2 linked regions of the Oreochromis niloticus genome follow. The protein of the gene in region 2 purifies or fractionates together with the protein of the main gene of each other region. This does not show direct contact. Links are inferred from orthologs where the notes say so. Each region holds a gene or a part of one and is shown on either strand. Other genes may lie near its edges.

Evidence for each region.
Region 1: the proteins of anapc15 (region 2) and cdc27 purify together in Homo sapiens (affinity purification with mass spectrometry; 3 studies listed by BioGRID and IntAct, with this or other methods). This does not show direct contact. The link is inferred for Oreochromis niloticus from reciprocal best matches to the Homo sapiens genes ANAPC15 and CDC27.

The regions. Positions count from the first base shown.
Region 1 is NC_031969.2:35,400,139-35,408,376, forward strand, and holds the start of cdc27 (cell division cycle protein 27 homolog), read right to left. Parts: upstream 3,154-8,238; 5' UTR 3,020-3,153; coding exon 2,981-3,019; intron 1-2,980. UniProt on the Homo sapiens protein: Component of the anaphase promoting complex/cyclosome (APC/C), a cell cycle-regulated E3 ubiquitin ligase that controls progression through mitosis and the G1 phase of the cell cycle.
Region 2 is NC_031979.2:11,650,366-11,657,813, reverse strand, and holds anapc15 (anaphase-promoting complex subunit 15), read left to right. Parts: upstream 1-4,156; 5' UTR 4,157-4,293; intron 4,294-4,514; 5' UTR 4,515-4,516; coding exon 4,517-4,636; intron 4,637-5,218; coding exon 5,219-5,278; intron 5,279-5,382; coding exon 5,383-5,523; intron 5,524-5,697; coding exon 5,698-5,745; 3' UTR 5,746-6,479; downstream 6,480-7,448. Other genes in the region: tomt (transmembrane O-methyltransferase homolog), read right to left, coding at 7,203-7,400. UniProt on the Homo sapiens protein: Component of the anaphase promoting complex/cyclosome (APC/C), a cell cycle-regulated E3 ubiquitin ligase that controls progression through mitosis and the G1 phase of the cell cycle.

The sequences.
Region 1 (8,238 bases), on a different chromosome or scaffold from region 2:
TGCTCCGCCCATCAAAATGTCTGAGCATGCGCAAATATATTGCCCATCGTCAATTGTTGGACTGATGATTGTCTGTCTTGCTTATTACGCACCTGTCTACAGGTTATGTTCAGATGTTGATTCATGGTTTTGTTCATTTTTTGATCTACTGCAGAATATTTTCAAAGGGTGAATGTTTGTCTGTGTGTCTATGTGTTAGCCCTCTGACAGACACCTGTCCTCAGTTACTCTGACACAAAGGCCTCTGCTGTGATGCTCACACCTCTGATGAAGTCTCACAGTGTCAACTTTGTTTTCATGCACAGATAGTTCACACTGAGTTTGCAATCGCAGAGAAACATTCAAATAATTTAGAATTAAATGTTTTTCATTTACAAGGTTCAGAGGGTTGTTTTGACAGTACACATCCAAGAAATATGATCATCATCATGACATTTCTGACTGAGTCAGAATGTCATTGAATCTAACCGAGTCGGGTACTTTGAATCAGTTGTCGAAATCAGTGATGATCCCAGCCCTGAGTCGCCGTAGCTCAGTTGTGATTGATGACAGCGACACTGAGATGAACTGCCGAGTACAGCGCTGCCGTTAGTTTCTCTTCTCCTCAAGGCCATATATGAAACTTCTTTTGAAGTGGATCTATCTCAGTGGCACTGAGCAAATAAACTCTCATGACGTGAGAACGTAATCAAACTGTTGATCAGAGGGAAATTAGTTTAAAGACACTACAATCTAATGTTATCTGGCATGACCTCAGCTTGTGACATCATCCTGTTGTTCAGCCATGTCTCAGATGCTCGCATGTCTGATCTGCTGACCATAACTCAATGTGACAATGTTGAGATTAAATATGTTCTTGTAGGATTTCTTACCCATATGGAAAAGATATATATAAATCTTATAAAGTTTGTATCTGTCTTGTGTGAAACTTGTATGAAAAGCATACAAGAGTGAAAACAGATATAAGATCCCTTGAAAAATTATATAAATGAAACTTGTATGTTTTGGATACTTACTAAAACAATATATGAAAGTAATGAGAAAGTGGCCACTTTCATGAGTAAATCATATAAGTTTTTACTATTTCTTTTCCATATGGGTATGTTAGAGCCCCAACTACAGTCCAGGAGTGAGGCTTAAGGTGAGGAGGAAGAGGATGAGATTCCCATATCCATTTTTGTTCATATTCTTCTATCCAAAACAGGAATGTGATAAAAAAAAAAAAAGAAGAAAAAGAGATTATTTTTCTGTCCTTGATGATTGCAGCACCTAACCATGCAGCAGAAGGAACAAAATAGTCACAGTACGTACGAGTGATTTATGTATGAATTATGAACCAAGGAGTTCAGAATCCAGAGCTCAAGGGCTCCAACTGGTACGACCCTCCAACTGCCCACCCTACCAAAGCCAGGTCAGGATAGGCTGAGCCACAAAGCGTGGAAGGACCACACCTGTCCTAACAGTAGGAGCCTGAGTTTGAATGAGGAAATGACGTCAGAAAACATCAATGGAAAGTAAAGTGACAACGTCCCAAAAGACAGACAAGACTCTGAAGATGAGGACGCCGCTGAAAAGGAGGTGGGAGGAGTTAGAGTGTGGAGATTTGGGCCGTTTGAACTTGGATAAAGAAGCAGAACCGCTCGTTTCCATAGAGACAGCACCGTTCTCACCACTTACGATACAACGACACGCAGTGACATCATAAATGTATTTGCCCGCTTCACTGTAACAATGCAATGACAGCAAGCAGAGCAGAAAACATCCAACTTCAGTCACGAGTCACCTCGTTACCAGACACACAGCTGCACAGATGTGTCTCACATCACCTCTACATCTGGAGACACAGACGAGCTTCTGTAAGCCTGCTGTTTCCACACACACACACACACACACACAGATGTGTTGGTGTATCTGTCCAGCTTTTGAGATTCATTTTGCATTAAATCCACATTATTTATCAAACTGAGCCAGAACTGCAAACAGCTGGAAATTATTCTTATTTTTTAAAAAGTAATGTGTTAGAGATAGCTTGTTACTTTTCTTATAAGTAATTTGGTATCTCATTTAGTTACTCACTGAATAAAGTAACTTGTTACATTACTCTGTATTACTACAAAAGGACCTGAAGCCGTCTCAGTCCACCACAAGGCGGCCATGCTGACCTTAGAGCCAGACGACTGGAAAAACTGGCTGTGGAGCTCAAATGTGATCTCCTCCCACACTCAGCTATAATCAGTGTATTTCAACAGTAAACACACAGTTATTGATCAAACGCTGGTATTGATCAGTAGAAAGCTTAAGGACTACGAGCAGTACAGGTTTACCTGACTGTAAACAGTTTTTGACTCTAGGTTAAAATGAAGGCTGTGTCACCTGTACCTGCTAACACCGAGCCATACATAATCAATAGCCAATACCGCAGTTAGAGCAACACTGTGTGCTGCCATTGGTTAGTACTCCAAACACATCTGAGGGCATCATGTGAGACGGGCCGTGTTTATGCCTGATTGTTATCGATGGGGTCAAGCTCAGGAAAGTTATTGATCAATGCGCTGATCGATCACTGCAGCTGTTCCGTTACTGACGTCACTTCACTTTAACTCTGCAGTCACAGTTTACCTGAGTGAGATCACAAACACACCTGTGAGGAGACATTACCCATCAGTCTGCGGCTGACATGGCAGCTAACGGCTAACAGCTAACAGCGGTTCATGTTACCGGGCAGTTAGCTGCCATTAGCCTGTGCTAGCTGTGAGAGTCTAACGGCCGCGGGATACCTTCATCTGTCGCGGCTGATCTGCGGTCAGACTCTGACATTAACAGACTCCCAAGGAGCGGCTTTGATCGTTTTATGAACTTTAAAGCAGAGTTCCTCCTTACTGAAACTCCGCTGAGTGTTAGCAACCGCGTTAGCTGCTAACCGAGTCATGCTAACACAGAACTCCATTTGAAATCCAACCGTTTCTCTCTGCACTCTCACCTGCACACATCTGAAACTCCGTGATATACCTGAGAACATCGGGCCCTGTTCTATGACAAATTCTGCTCACAGTCAGTGACCCACCCACAGCTGGTTCCGGTGAAACACTGACTTTAAAGAGGTCTGTTCGCTCTCCGCGGGTCATTTCCCCTCAGCCGGACTCAGGCCTCTTCAGATGGACCTGTTCGGATTCCGGGTGGTTTTATTTTAAAATTAGACCGTGTTCGTTTTTTGGATCTGAGCCCAAAAGATGTGCGGAACAAAACCATTCATGAAATATCAAATAAACTGACCAATTTCTCCCTTTAATTAGATCGGAAATACCTGGAATCTTAATCTGACAAATATTTAAAGGTGGCTGGCATGACATATCTCAGTTGTACCGGGTGTAAATTAAAAGCTCTGCGTGACCCGAACGGGCCGTGACAGAGGGTACTAACGGACTAACGACCACCAATAATAGCAGAAAACTCTCTCTGTGCCGTCAGCGGCCCTCTATGGGGCCTGCGGCCGAGGAACAGCGCTCTCACCACGGATTGCACCCACCACTAAGGCCGGGGCGCAGAGACAGGCACAAACTTCATAAATGCTCCGCTCCCCACGCGTGACAACGAGCCAAAGGTGTGTATTTATACCTGGACAGGTTCCTGCAGCACCGTCATCCCGCTCTGAGACTCCTTCTGTCCGGTCCGGGGGTCTCTTTTCTCTCCGCTCTTTCTTCACTTGAGTCTCAGGAGGAGCTGCAGCCGAACATTTGAACATACCGACCGTTAGCAACCGAGTACCGCCGAAGATACCCGAGGAGGGAAAATGCCGCGGCGGACATGAACGACTGTCAAACGGAGAAAGCCGAAGTATCTCCTTCGCCTTCTGGTGGTAAAACTCATTACAGCGGTGTTCAGTGTTCTGTCGCCTCCTGGTGCTCAGACTGGTTAGTAGCAACAGCAGACTGGCTGACATGAAGCCATGAGCCATTTAGAATGGCGGCTTTAAATAACTGGCAGTTGTGGTCTTGGGGAGATTGACTATCCTCGGGGAAGATCCTGAACCCCGAGTTTCTCCTAATACATCCATCAATGTGTTTGTGTCAAAGTCAAAGTCAAAGTCAACTTTATTTGTCAATTCTGCCACATGTACAGGACATACAGAGAATAGAAATTTCGTTACTCTCAAACCCAAATGAACATTTAAATATAAGAGAGTGATTAAAAATGCAAGTAGAATAATTAAAAAGTAAAAATTTAAATAAATACAGTACAATTTTACATATAACAAAAAAAAAGCTATACAATATACAATATACAATATTCAGGTAAGGGTAAATGACATTGGGTGTAAACCAGGCAAGGTAGTGCAAATAGGCAAATAGTGCAAATGGAGATTTGGTAATGTACGGTAGGAGATAGTGTAACAACAAAGTCTTATGAGGTAGTGGTGGTCCAATGCTCCACAAAGTGACTAATAACTGGTGCAGGCCAGTGAGTGAGTCAGAGAGTGTGTGTGTGTGTGTGTGTGTGTGACAGAGTTCAGTGAGACCGTGGAGGAGAGAGGGGAGAGGGGGCAGAATCGGGAGGGAGTTAAGCTTCCTGACAGCCTGATGGATGAAGCTGTCCTTCAGTCTGAGAAAGAAGAGACGCTGCTGTGATTTCTTGGCCAGTGCTGTGGTGTTGTACGTCCAGGAGAGATCCTCTGTGATGTGCACACCCAAGAACTTAGTGCTGCTCACTCTCTCCACAGACGCTCCGTCAATGGTCAGAGGAGCATGTTGGGTGTGCATTCTCCTGAAGTCCACAACAATCTCCTTCGTCTTCTCCACATTCAGAGAGAGATTGTTGTCAACACACCACGTGGCCAGGCGTCTCACCTCACTTCTGTAGTCGGTCTCATCCCTGTTGCTAATGAGACCCACCACCGTTGTGTCGTCCGCAAACTTGATGAAGAGGTTGGAGCTGTATGATGGAGTGCAGTCATGGGTCAGCAGAGTGAAGAGGAGGGGGCTCAGCACACATCCCTGCGGGGCCCCCGTGTTTAAAATGATGGTGCTGGATGTATTACTGCCGACCCGTACTGCTTGAGGTCTTCCGGTGAGGAAATCCAACAGCCAGTTGCACAGAGAGGTGTTAAGCCCCAACTGGACCAGTTTTTGAGTGAGCTGTTGGGGGATTATAGTGTTGAATGCTGAACTGAAATCTATGAACAGCATTCGAACATATGAGTCTTTTTTGTCCAGGTGTGTGAGTGCTGAGTGGAGTGCAGTGGAGATAGCATCATCGGTTGAGCGGTTGGGCCGATACGCAAACTGGAAGGGATCCAGGGAGGGGGGCAGGACAGTCTTGATGTGTTGCATGACTAGTCGTTCGAAGCACTTCATCAGGATGGGAGTAAGTGCAACAGGACGGTAGTCATTAAAGCAGGAGGGAGATGACTTTTTTGGAACCGGAATGATTGTGGTGGCTTTAAAACATGTGGGGACGACAGCCTGGATAAGTGATATATTGGATAAGTGATATATTGAAGATGTCTGTGAAGACATCAGTGAGTTCCACTGTGTGTGAATGGTATGGTAACTGTACCGTATCAGACAGGGGCGATTCTAGGATCAGAGCTTTGAGGGTGCTGAGCACCCAGAGAGCTGCCCAGCCAGGCAAGATAAACTTTACTCGTCACGATGAGACTTCTTCCCTGTCTCTGTCAGTCCCTGCATCCTTAAATGTCTCCAGTTGTCCCGAGTTTCCTCTGACTGTCTCTTTGGTGCATTTAAACCCCTGTTCCTCCCTGTCCTCATCGTCTGTTGTCTTCATCTCCATTATCAGTCATCATAATTTTACCAGTTCTGTGCAAGTCTGCAAATTTCTTTATTAAATCATAAGATTCTTAAACTCATCAAGTCTCTCTGTGCCTGGGTCCTCGTCACAAAACATGACATCATTGTTTTGTACATTTTAACACAATTTAATCCCCATATTTGTGAAAGAAAAGCAAAACACTTTTTTTTAAAGTCTGTAACAAAACCATCAAATCAGATAAAGGTTATTTAAATGCTGCAAACGAAGAATGGATTGGAATAATAATAAAAAAAATACATATCCTAACCTTAATTACTGGGGGAAAATGATGAATGATGCTCACAGTGAGTAACAAGTAAACTGAGTGCATTTTTTGGACAGAGATTCACTTTTAATGTGTATGTATAATACAATACAGATATATAAAAATACACTCCAAAAATTGAGTCCTTGAAATGTACAAAATATTGATGAAAAAATTATAAAAATGGAGGCAACTTTGCCTATGGTACAATGTATACAATGTATGAAAAGATCTTTACTGCAGATACTTCTACGGCTCTGCAGATTTTTTCTTTTAATTTAACCTATGTGCCTCACCTTGAGGTTGGCAAATCTGTCTATCACTTTTTGGTGGTCAACTCTCTCAAGCAGTTTAACAGTTTGTTTTGAATGTCACTGTTCCCTGTCTGTTTTCTTACCTGTTTCTTCCTGACCTTGTACTTTCTCCTCACGCTCCCCTCTTTCCTCTCTCCCTCTTTGGACTGACAATCATACACAAATAGATTGTATTCAATTAGATGAAAAAATTACATTAACATTAAAAAAATTATTATTATTAAGAACACTAATAAAAAAAAAGTCCCCTCTCAGTGTACTTTCAACCAAATGGCAAATAACCAAACTACATGTACATCTAATAAAAGATATAAATATTGAAACACTGATCCAACATTATCCTTTATTGACGGATCATTTAATCTTACAAGTTTACCTGAATGTGGCTCCTGGGTTTAATATTGGCACATGCACATATGACAAAATAACCAGCTTCTCTCATTCCACTTCAAACAGGACAGTGGCAACAACAGCAGGCTACGGACAATTTTCAGTTTTAGATTTTAAATAGGCTAAATTTCAATGGGAGCAACAGGACGGTCAAATGTCGCTGATTTTACTACAGAGTAGGATGGATTGTAGGGTAGCAAACATCGTTGGAAAACACGTTTCCAACACTGCAGGTTGCCTGGGTGTAATGTTTTTCAGTTAAAAAGAAACATGGCCTAACTCCTACCTAACTATATAAAGAGTAAGTGAAGGTTAAATGCAGCTAATATGTCCTGTTTTAAGCCAGCACTCACACCTCCGCTCCGCTGCGTGTCAGCCACCATCACTCTGGCAGCAACGGTGCTAGAGCCAGAGTAGGGGAGAGGCGAGCTGGAACAAACCATTTTGGGAGGGGGGGTATCTATACTTTTGTTGTTAAAATGTTACGTCTCAACCAAGTACTGAATGCTTTTTATATTTTTAGTAGTGTGGCACACAAACAGCAAATATTTTCCAAAAAAGTAAGAAATCTTTGGGGGTGCTTTGATCCATTTTTGGGGGTGCTTCAAAAAATGGGCTAAAATCGCCCCTGGTATCAGATCGCAACACCCTACAACAGATAGTGAGAGCAGCTGAGAAGATCATTGGAGCCTCTCTTTCCTCCATCACAGACACTTATAGAACCCGCTCCATCCGCAAAGCCAACAGCATTGTGGAGGACCCACACACACTCTCCACCCTGCTGCCTTCTGGAAAGAGGTACCGGAGCATCCGGTACCTCACTGCCAAACTACGGAACAGTTCTTCCCCCAAGCCGTCAGACTCCTGAACACCCAGTGACTGGAATGACAAAAAACACACACACACACACACACACACACACACACACACACACACACACACACACACACACACCTTCAGACACCAGGTTACTATTTGCACATTTTGCACATTTCCATTGCACTGTCTTGTGTTGTCTTGTGTCTGTATCGTCCTGTTCTGTCTAGAGTTACACTGTCTTGTTTTTTTGCATTTTTTGCACGTTGCACTTCAAGCAGTCCTGTGTTCGTCTGTTATATGTCATGTGTAGCACCAGAGTGTCGGAGGAACGCTGTTTCATTTCACAGGGTGTAGGTCTGTGGTGGCTGTAGCTCAGGCGGTAGAGCAGGTCATCTGCTGATCACAAGATTGGTGGTTCGATTCCTGGTTTCCTGGCTTCTTCCTCTAGTCTGCATGCTAAGCATCCTTGGGCAAGATCCTAACACAGGCTTTAGGTTTGAAATTATGCGGCTAAATGGGTTAAATGCAGAGAGGAATTTGCCCACAGGGATCAATAAAGTATGCATTGTTGTTGTTATTATTATTATATAACTTTGATTTTGTCAGTATTTTGTCAGTCTGTTCCATGGTTGCTCGGTCTCCCCT
Region 2 (7,448 bases):
TATTTTAACAGTATTTACAGTATTTAACAGCCCTGGTGTAGATCTCTTTCAGTAACAGAACTAGTCCCAAAGTTTAGAGTTTATGGTAATCCGGACAGTCCTTTTCTTTTTTTCTCTTCTTTTTTTTGTAAGAAGACTGATTTTAGCACGGTGGCCAGCACTGTTGCCAGACAGCAAGAAGGTCCTGAGTTCAATTCCACCATCAGGCCGGGGCCTTTCTGTGTGGCGTTTGCATGTTCTCCTCGTGTTTGCGTGGGTTCCCTCCGGGTACTCCAGCTTCCTCCCACCGTCTAAAGACATGCAGTTTGTGGGGATAGGTTAATTGATTAGTCTAAATTGCCCATAGGTGTGAATGTGAGTGTGAATGATTGTCTGTCTCTGTGTGTTAGCCCTGTGACAGACAGGCGACCTGTCCAGGGTGTACCCCGCCTCTCGCCCTATGAGAGCTGGGATAAGCTCCAGCCTCCCCGCGACCCTGAAAAGGAGAAGCGGAAGCGAATGGATGGATGGCATTCGGTCCCGATTCGATTCAATTTTGACTCAGGGAGAAATATTGTAATTCTCATCATTTATCAGTACATATCCACATTTTTATATCTATGTATAAAAACAAAGCTGACACTTGTGAGACTTTACCATCGGTGTAAGCATCACAGGAGATGCCTTTGTGTTAAGGTAAGTGAGGATAAAACTCAGAAAAACATGAAGGAGATTTTCTTGGCCTGGCTTTTTATAGCAGATAACCTTTAAAAATATTCTGCAGTAGGCAAAAAGCAGAAGAAAACCATGAATCAGCAGATGAACATTACCTGATGCTGAACAAAGCAGAGCAAAGTTACAGAGGTTTTATTAGAGAGCATTTTGCAATTCGGGATAATTTTAAAAAGTTTACATTTTTTTCATTGAACAACAGAAATTAGGCTTTCTTGTCGCAGGTCATTTTTGAAAAAACAAACAAACAAAAAACAGCAGCCGACAGCACTGAACACAACGGTAGACTGGTGCGTAATAAGCAGGCGAATAATGCAGAAAACAGAGATATTTCATGGTAAACTGGTCTCTTGAGTGCGCTGAGAGAGAGAAATAGCTGTGCAGGAAGTTTGATTTTATCGTGGTGGAAGCAAAACAGCAAAAGTCAGAGGGAATTCATGACGATGTTTATCAAATGCGAAGCATAGTTTTGATCTTCTTTTGCAGCTGGTTCAGTGAATTGTGGCCAGAGATTAATGAAACCTCCAGCTTCATAATCTTTCAGATGTCGGTTTTCAGCACCGACGGCACGCACGTGGACATGATCCGCGCTTTGTGTTCACTTCTTTTTGCGGAATCCGTTTACCTGCACTTTGTGAACCTTTTATCTAGAAAGGTGCTATATAAATAAATCTTTACTTAGTCTTTTTTACTTACTTTGTCCCACATGTGATTTTTCTCTCTGCTAATCTGACTTTCGGATTCTTTTAAGTACTAAACATAATACATGAGAAAGGTTTACCCACAATGCCACAACAATTAAATTGTGGCTCCTGAATGCAGTATAAAAATGCAAAAGGACACAATGTAAAGTATAAAGTGAACTCTGTCAGAGAGCAAATGTGCCTCTACACCTTTTTGCGTTTAAAACCCAAACATTATAAACATGAAAGATAAACTCACCAACGATTTTGTAAAGCTCTAATCATCATATATAGACGAAGTAATCCATATGCATGTAAATAGAAGTAGCTGTGTATTATCGTATAGTTTAGAAACAAAAAGTAGATGCAGCTGTGGTGAAAATTCATTTAGAGACCAAGTAATAATGAACAAATTCCCTTTACCTTTGGATTTGGTGATGACTCCTTTTTGAAGGGATGATCCTACAAAGCAGTATCTGCAGATCCCCTTTAACACACTTCTCAAGACCAAACAAGAATTTCCAAACACTGATTTGTGCCCGACTGCGTGTTTGTGTGTGTGCGTGTGTCGGACTGTGTGGGCAAAGTGTGAGCGAATGAATGTGAAAACTTGCTGTGCTTTTGACTAATTAGTTTTCAAAGTCCAAAGTCCATATCACGTGTGTGTGTGTGTGTGTCTCTGTGTGTGTGTGTTTAAGATGAAAGATGTAAGGAGTAGACATGTGACAAATTCAAAGACACCCCACCTCCAATGATACGGGTATCCAGTAGCTCTGATTTGCTGTGAACTTCAGGTCTGGGTCCCCTGGTCCCCTTCAGAGTGGTGGGTCACTTTAAATGACTATAATTACCATGTTCTAAGTTATCTCCATTACCCTATGATGAAATACTTCTGACCTGATTGGACTAGTATTCTCCAGGTGATTGTGCCTGCATCTGCAAGGTACAAGAGGTCACTGAACTGCTCTGATAATTATGAAAATGAAGTCAGTTATATTTTATGGCTTTCACAGTCACATGCACTCAATCAACATCTATGGGAGATTTTGGACCACCATGTAAGACCGTCCTCTCCACCGCCATCATAAACACCAAATGCAGGACTATCTTATAGAAGAGCGTTATTGCATATGGTCAGATAACTGTAGAACCAGTACCAGGCTATCTTTAAGCTACTTTAACACTCTTGATGTTGGATTTTTCTCTAATTTGTTACCAGTCTGTAGTTCCTGTGAGCATGTGATTTTCTAGTTTTATAACATCTGGCCATGAAGAATATCAGTGTTATCTCAAGGTCTAACCTGCTCACCACCACCCCCCCACACAGACACAGACACAGACACACACACACAGACACACACACACACACACACACACACACACACACACACACACACAAGCTGTCGTGACATGGCAGCGTGACCTGGAATGACAATAAGAAGATCAAAAGGATGGTAAGTAAGATCTTTTTAGTGCTGTCATCATGACAAAGAAAAATTAAACATTACAAGCACCCTCAAGAGAGTAATGTCTTTGCATGTGCATAAATGTGCTTATGCTTGAGGTTAACGTTTTAAACTTACTGATAAGAATGTTCAACTTCAGCAGCATTTACAGAAACCAGCCATGAACTACGACAGAAATTCTGTTATCTCAGCAGCTTCCTATAGTTTGAAAGAGAGATTGTGTTAGGGGTTGCTTAAAGCTGATATACACTAATGACATAATACATACTGCCCTTACTACTACTACTACTACTACTACTACTAATAATAATAATAATAATAATTTATGGCAGATGCTACTCTTCCAGACAGATACAGTACTGTGCAAAAGTCATGACTCACCTCTCATTTCTTTATATTTTGCTTCCAAGAAATCAGAGTATAAAGTGATCTTGAGGTATAGTTCTCCAACCTCTTCGAAGGTCTTTCAATGTGTTTTGAAAACTATTTTTTTTCACTCATCTTCAATCCAGTCCTGGTTCCTTACAGTTTAAAGAAAAAAGTTTTCTTTGTTTGTTAAGCCACTTACCACTGACCTATGAATTCATCAAGCATATCAATCATTCACCTAACTCAAGGGATAAACAAATGTTGTGGCTACATGTAGTCGATGAAAGATGGTTCAGTTGATCCATCTACTGTTCATCAAAGCTCAATGGTCTTAGTGGAAGGGTGGCTGTCGAGAAACCATTCTTAAAGAAGAGCAACAGGGAGAAAAGACAAATTACACAAGCACTGGACTGAAAACCAGTGGAAACAGGTCTGATGGAGTGATGATTTCAAATTTGAAATTCTTAGTTTAAATCATTATGCATTTGTACACAAGAGGTCAGGAGAGGTAAAGCAGTGAGTGTCTAAAGCTATCTGTAAAACATGGTGGTGGCTATGCAAAAGGGAGCCAACATGCCGAGAGGAGCTTTGAATGTCTTTCAAGAAGCCTGGCGAACTATTCCTGAAGTCTACTTAAAGAAAGGACAAGAACACTTGACTAGACTAAGGGATCTCTTTATCCTCTTTTTATATTCAGCTTCTGTGTTGTTCTTCCAGTTCAACCTGTTGTTGATGATGATGACATCCCAGTTCTCCTTCAGCTTGTCAACACCATTTTCAGGATAGTCATAAAATGAAATGAAATAAAGACAAATAACATGTTTTATTGCATATACGGATCGTTAATATCGCTGTAACACATTTTAGTTAAAGCTCATTAGTGTTTCTACTTTATTTAGAACCTCTCGTGCCACAGATGTGGCTCACGCTCCGAAAAGGGAACCTTTATGGAGAGCCGCTGGAGAAAAGAGGACTCTTTATGGGTGAACACCAGCAGTTTCCGGTAAAATTTGTTTTGAATTTTTTGTCGAGCTGCTGACAGGGACTCAGACTGTGGATTTCGGGTAAGGTTAAGCACGATGTTATTTTATTGTTTGATTATATCACATCATTTTCAATCCACAATATCAGGGGAGTGTTAGATTTTAGAGTCTGTGAGTCTGGAGGACTTTTAAATCGACCGTTAATGACGTATTAGCTGTTCCTCTGTCGTTTGTTGTCTTAACGCAAACTCCGGCTTCAGTTTTCTTTCTGTTTTGTGGGATTTATTTCTGTTGTGTGACAGAAATGTCCACGCTGTTTCCGTCGTTGCTGCCCCGGATAACGGAGTCTCTGTGGTTTAATCTGGACCGACCGTGTGTGGATGAGACCGAGCTGCACCAGCAAGAGCAGCAACACCAGACCTGGGTAAAGGCTCCCCAGAGCAATTATAGACTTGTATTTTCCATCTTTATGCTATTTTGTTGCTTGCAGTTCACTTACGATGCGTTTATATATTGATTTTGCGCATGTTAGTTTGTAATTTATTAGTTTGAGTATTTGCGAAAGGCTAAAAGTCATATAGAAGTCATATAGTCTGCTATAATTACTTGTGGCTTTTTTATTTTTCCTTTATCAGAATCAAAATAATAAATAAACTTATAAATAAATCTTAATCCCAGGAGGAAATCATTCTAACTTGAAATATAAATAAGAGAAACAGAAAGTGTAAACACTATATATATAAAAGAGTAAAACTAAGGCACTCAAAGTGCAATTTTTAGTCAAAATTAAATGTTCCAACGTTAAAACAATACAATACAATACTATACACAGTACGGTGTGAAAGATTGTTCAGTACTTAGCATAACTTGGACAGTATTGTCCTTTCTGAAACCTCAGATCAGTCAAGCTCCACAGCTGCAACATCTCTGGCCATGCATGATCAGTCTATGCATCCTATTATGAGACTTCATACACTTTAATATGTGCAAACTGTCTCTACCGTAGCTGCAGAGTATTGCTGAGAAAGACAACAACCTGATGCCCATTGGAAAACCAATTTTTGAGGTAACGGAAAAAGAATTTTAAACACAAAATAGACAAAGTGTGAAACAGAGTGGCTACATACTTTGTTCCCCTCCATTCATGCTCTCTGCATTTACTGGGTGCAGGCAGGCTACGAAGAGGAGGAAGAAGAAGATGATGAAGATGAAGAAGACAGCGAGGAAGACTCAGAAGATGAAGAGGACATGCAGGACATGGATGAGATGAACGACTACAATGAGTCACCTGATGATGGCGAGATCAATGAGGTGCTTTTCTTTATGATTTGAATAATTTTTTTTTCCAGGCGACAGTGTCACAAACCCAATGGTCATGAGGTGTTTTAGTGTTAAGACTTGGTAAAAATACATGTATCTAAATTTAATTCCATTTCTTTCCTTTACCAAAAATGCCTCTAATCTAGCTTGGTTTCTTTCTGTCAGGTGGATATGGAAGGACCAGACCAAGACCAAGACCAGTGGATGATTTAAGATGATACTGGTTTTCATCAGGCCGGCCCTGGGTTTCCACTCAATGCTTAAAATACAACTACTGCTCTTCAGTCTCTGACATGTTTTTATGTGTGAAATTATGGAAAGAATAATACTGAAGAATCACCATAAGATACTTTGAGAAATCAGTGCATTTTTCTAACTTAAATTTAATTACAATTGACAGTGTGTGATGGTGGAAAATAATCAAAGTGGCTCCAAGTGTGTGGTGCTCTTAAGTAGGTGTTGTTTTTGTATCAGGAAAATCTTCACGCAGTGGTAGCAGCAGGCCCAGTGATCCATTATGTAAACCTTGAACTTTTGCTATCTACAGTTATGCAGAGCAGCGTCTGTAACCAGCAGACTAAGCATAACCATAACGTCAAGTCAGCAAAATAACTTATTGAACTATGCAAGAGTCACCCAGTTGCTTTACCATATAGTCCTGTTCTGTTTCCCAGCAGTGTTTTGTATGTTACAGAAATACCTTCAGCAGAGGATTCATAAAACCCCAGGACATGTATTCTGTTCAGACACTTTTTATATTTTGAACTATGTCGGAAGCAAAAGATGCTAACAAATATTTAAATGTGAGACACAGAGTTCTGTCATGGTCATGTTGTAGAATATTTAACCATGGCATTCCCTACTTCTACTGAAGTTGTAAATTATTTTAACTGAACCATGTTTCTGTTTTTGTGTATTTGAATTTATTAATAAAATATAAGAAAATGTGACGCGTCACTTGTAGTTCAATAACAATTTTGAGAATTTTGGTGGTGGGATGTCCAAGGTTTATATAATTAGACTTTAACTGCAGGAAAGATTTTAAGAATTAATGCTGGCAGTTATCATCTGAAGGAAGACGGGCGATTAATATTAACATAAACTTTAATAAAAATGTAATTTTAATTTAGGTTTAATTTGCATTTAGATTTGCATTAAATTTTGGAGTGTGAGTCTTTCAAATTTGGGAGTTAGAAAAAAAAGAAGCCTTAAAAAAGTTGTTTATTTGAGTCTTTAAACAAAAAGAAGACATGAGATGCTGAGAAGTCACAACAAAGTCCCAGTAGAATAAAAGGTGATTGGAGCTTATAAGACACCTAAACTGGAGATTCTATATATAGAAATATAAACAAAGTGTCAGCCTTTTGTTTTAAGATTTAATTTAGCTTTTTTTGTTTTTGTGGGTAAATGTTGCAGTAACTGATCTCTTTTGAAATCGGTAGGGCACTAGGTCAAGCTCCTTCTTTACCCAGAATGCACTAGTAAGTTATTTTGCAATGTATTTCTTCACAGGTTGAGCTGTATTACACAGACTAGAAATTGAAACGATACCCCTTTAGATGAAGTAATACAGAAGAGAATCATCACAACTTTCCCTAAGAATTTGGACATTTCTGTTTCTGAAGTGTGTGTTTGAGTAACAATATGAAATCTTATCATGATGTCATGATCTACTTGATTCCCTGGTACACCAGCTCAGCCATCCCATCCCTGATGCCCTTACTATACTCTAGCGTGGCCCGGTGGATCCTCCATTCATACAGGCCACTCTTGCGAATATATCTAAGGAACTTTGGAGCACCAGGAAACAGCACATTATCTGCCAGGATAATAGATCCTTTTCCCAGCAGACCAGAGCCCTCGAGCATCTGTAACACACAGAGGCAGCGAGTGAGGCAGCTGGATGGGTAATAGTA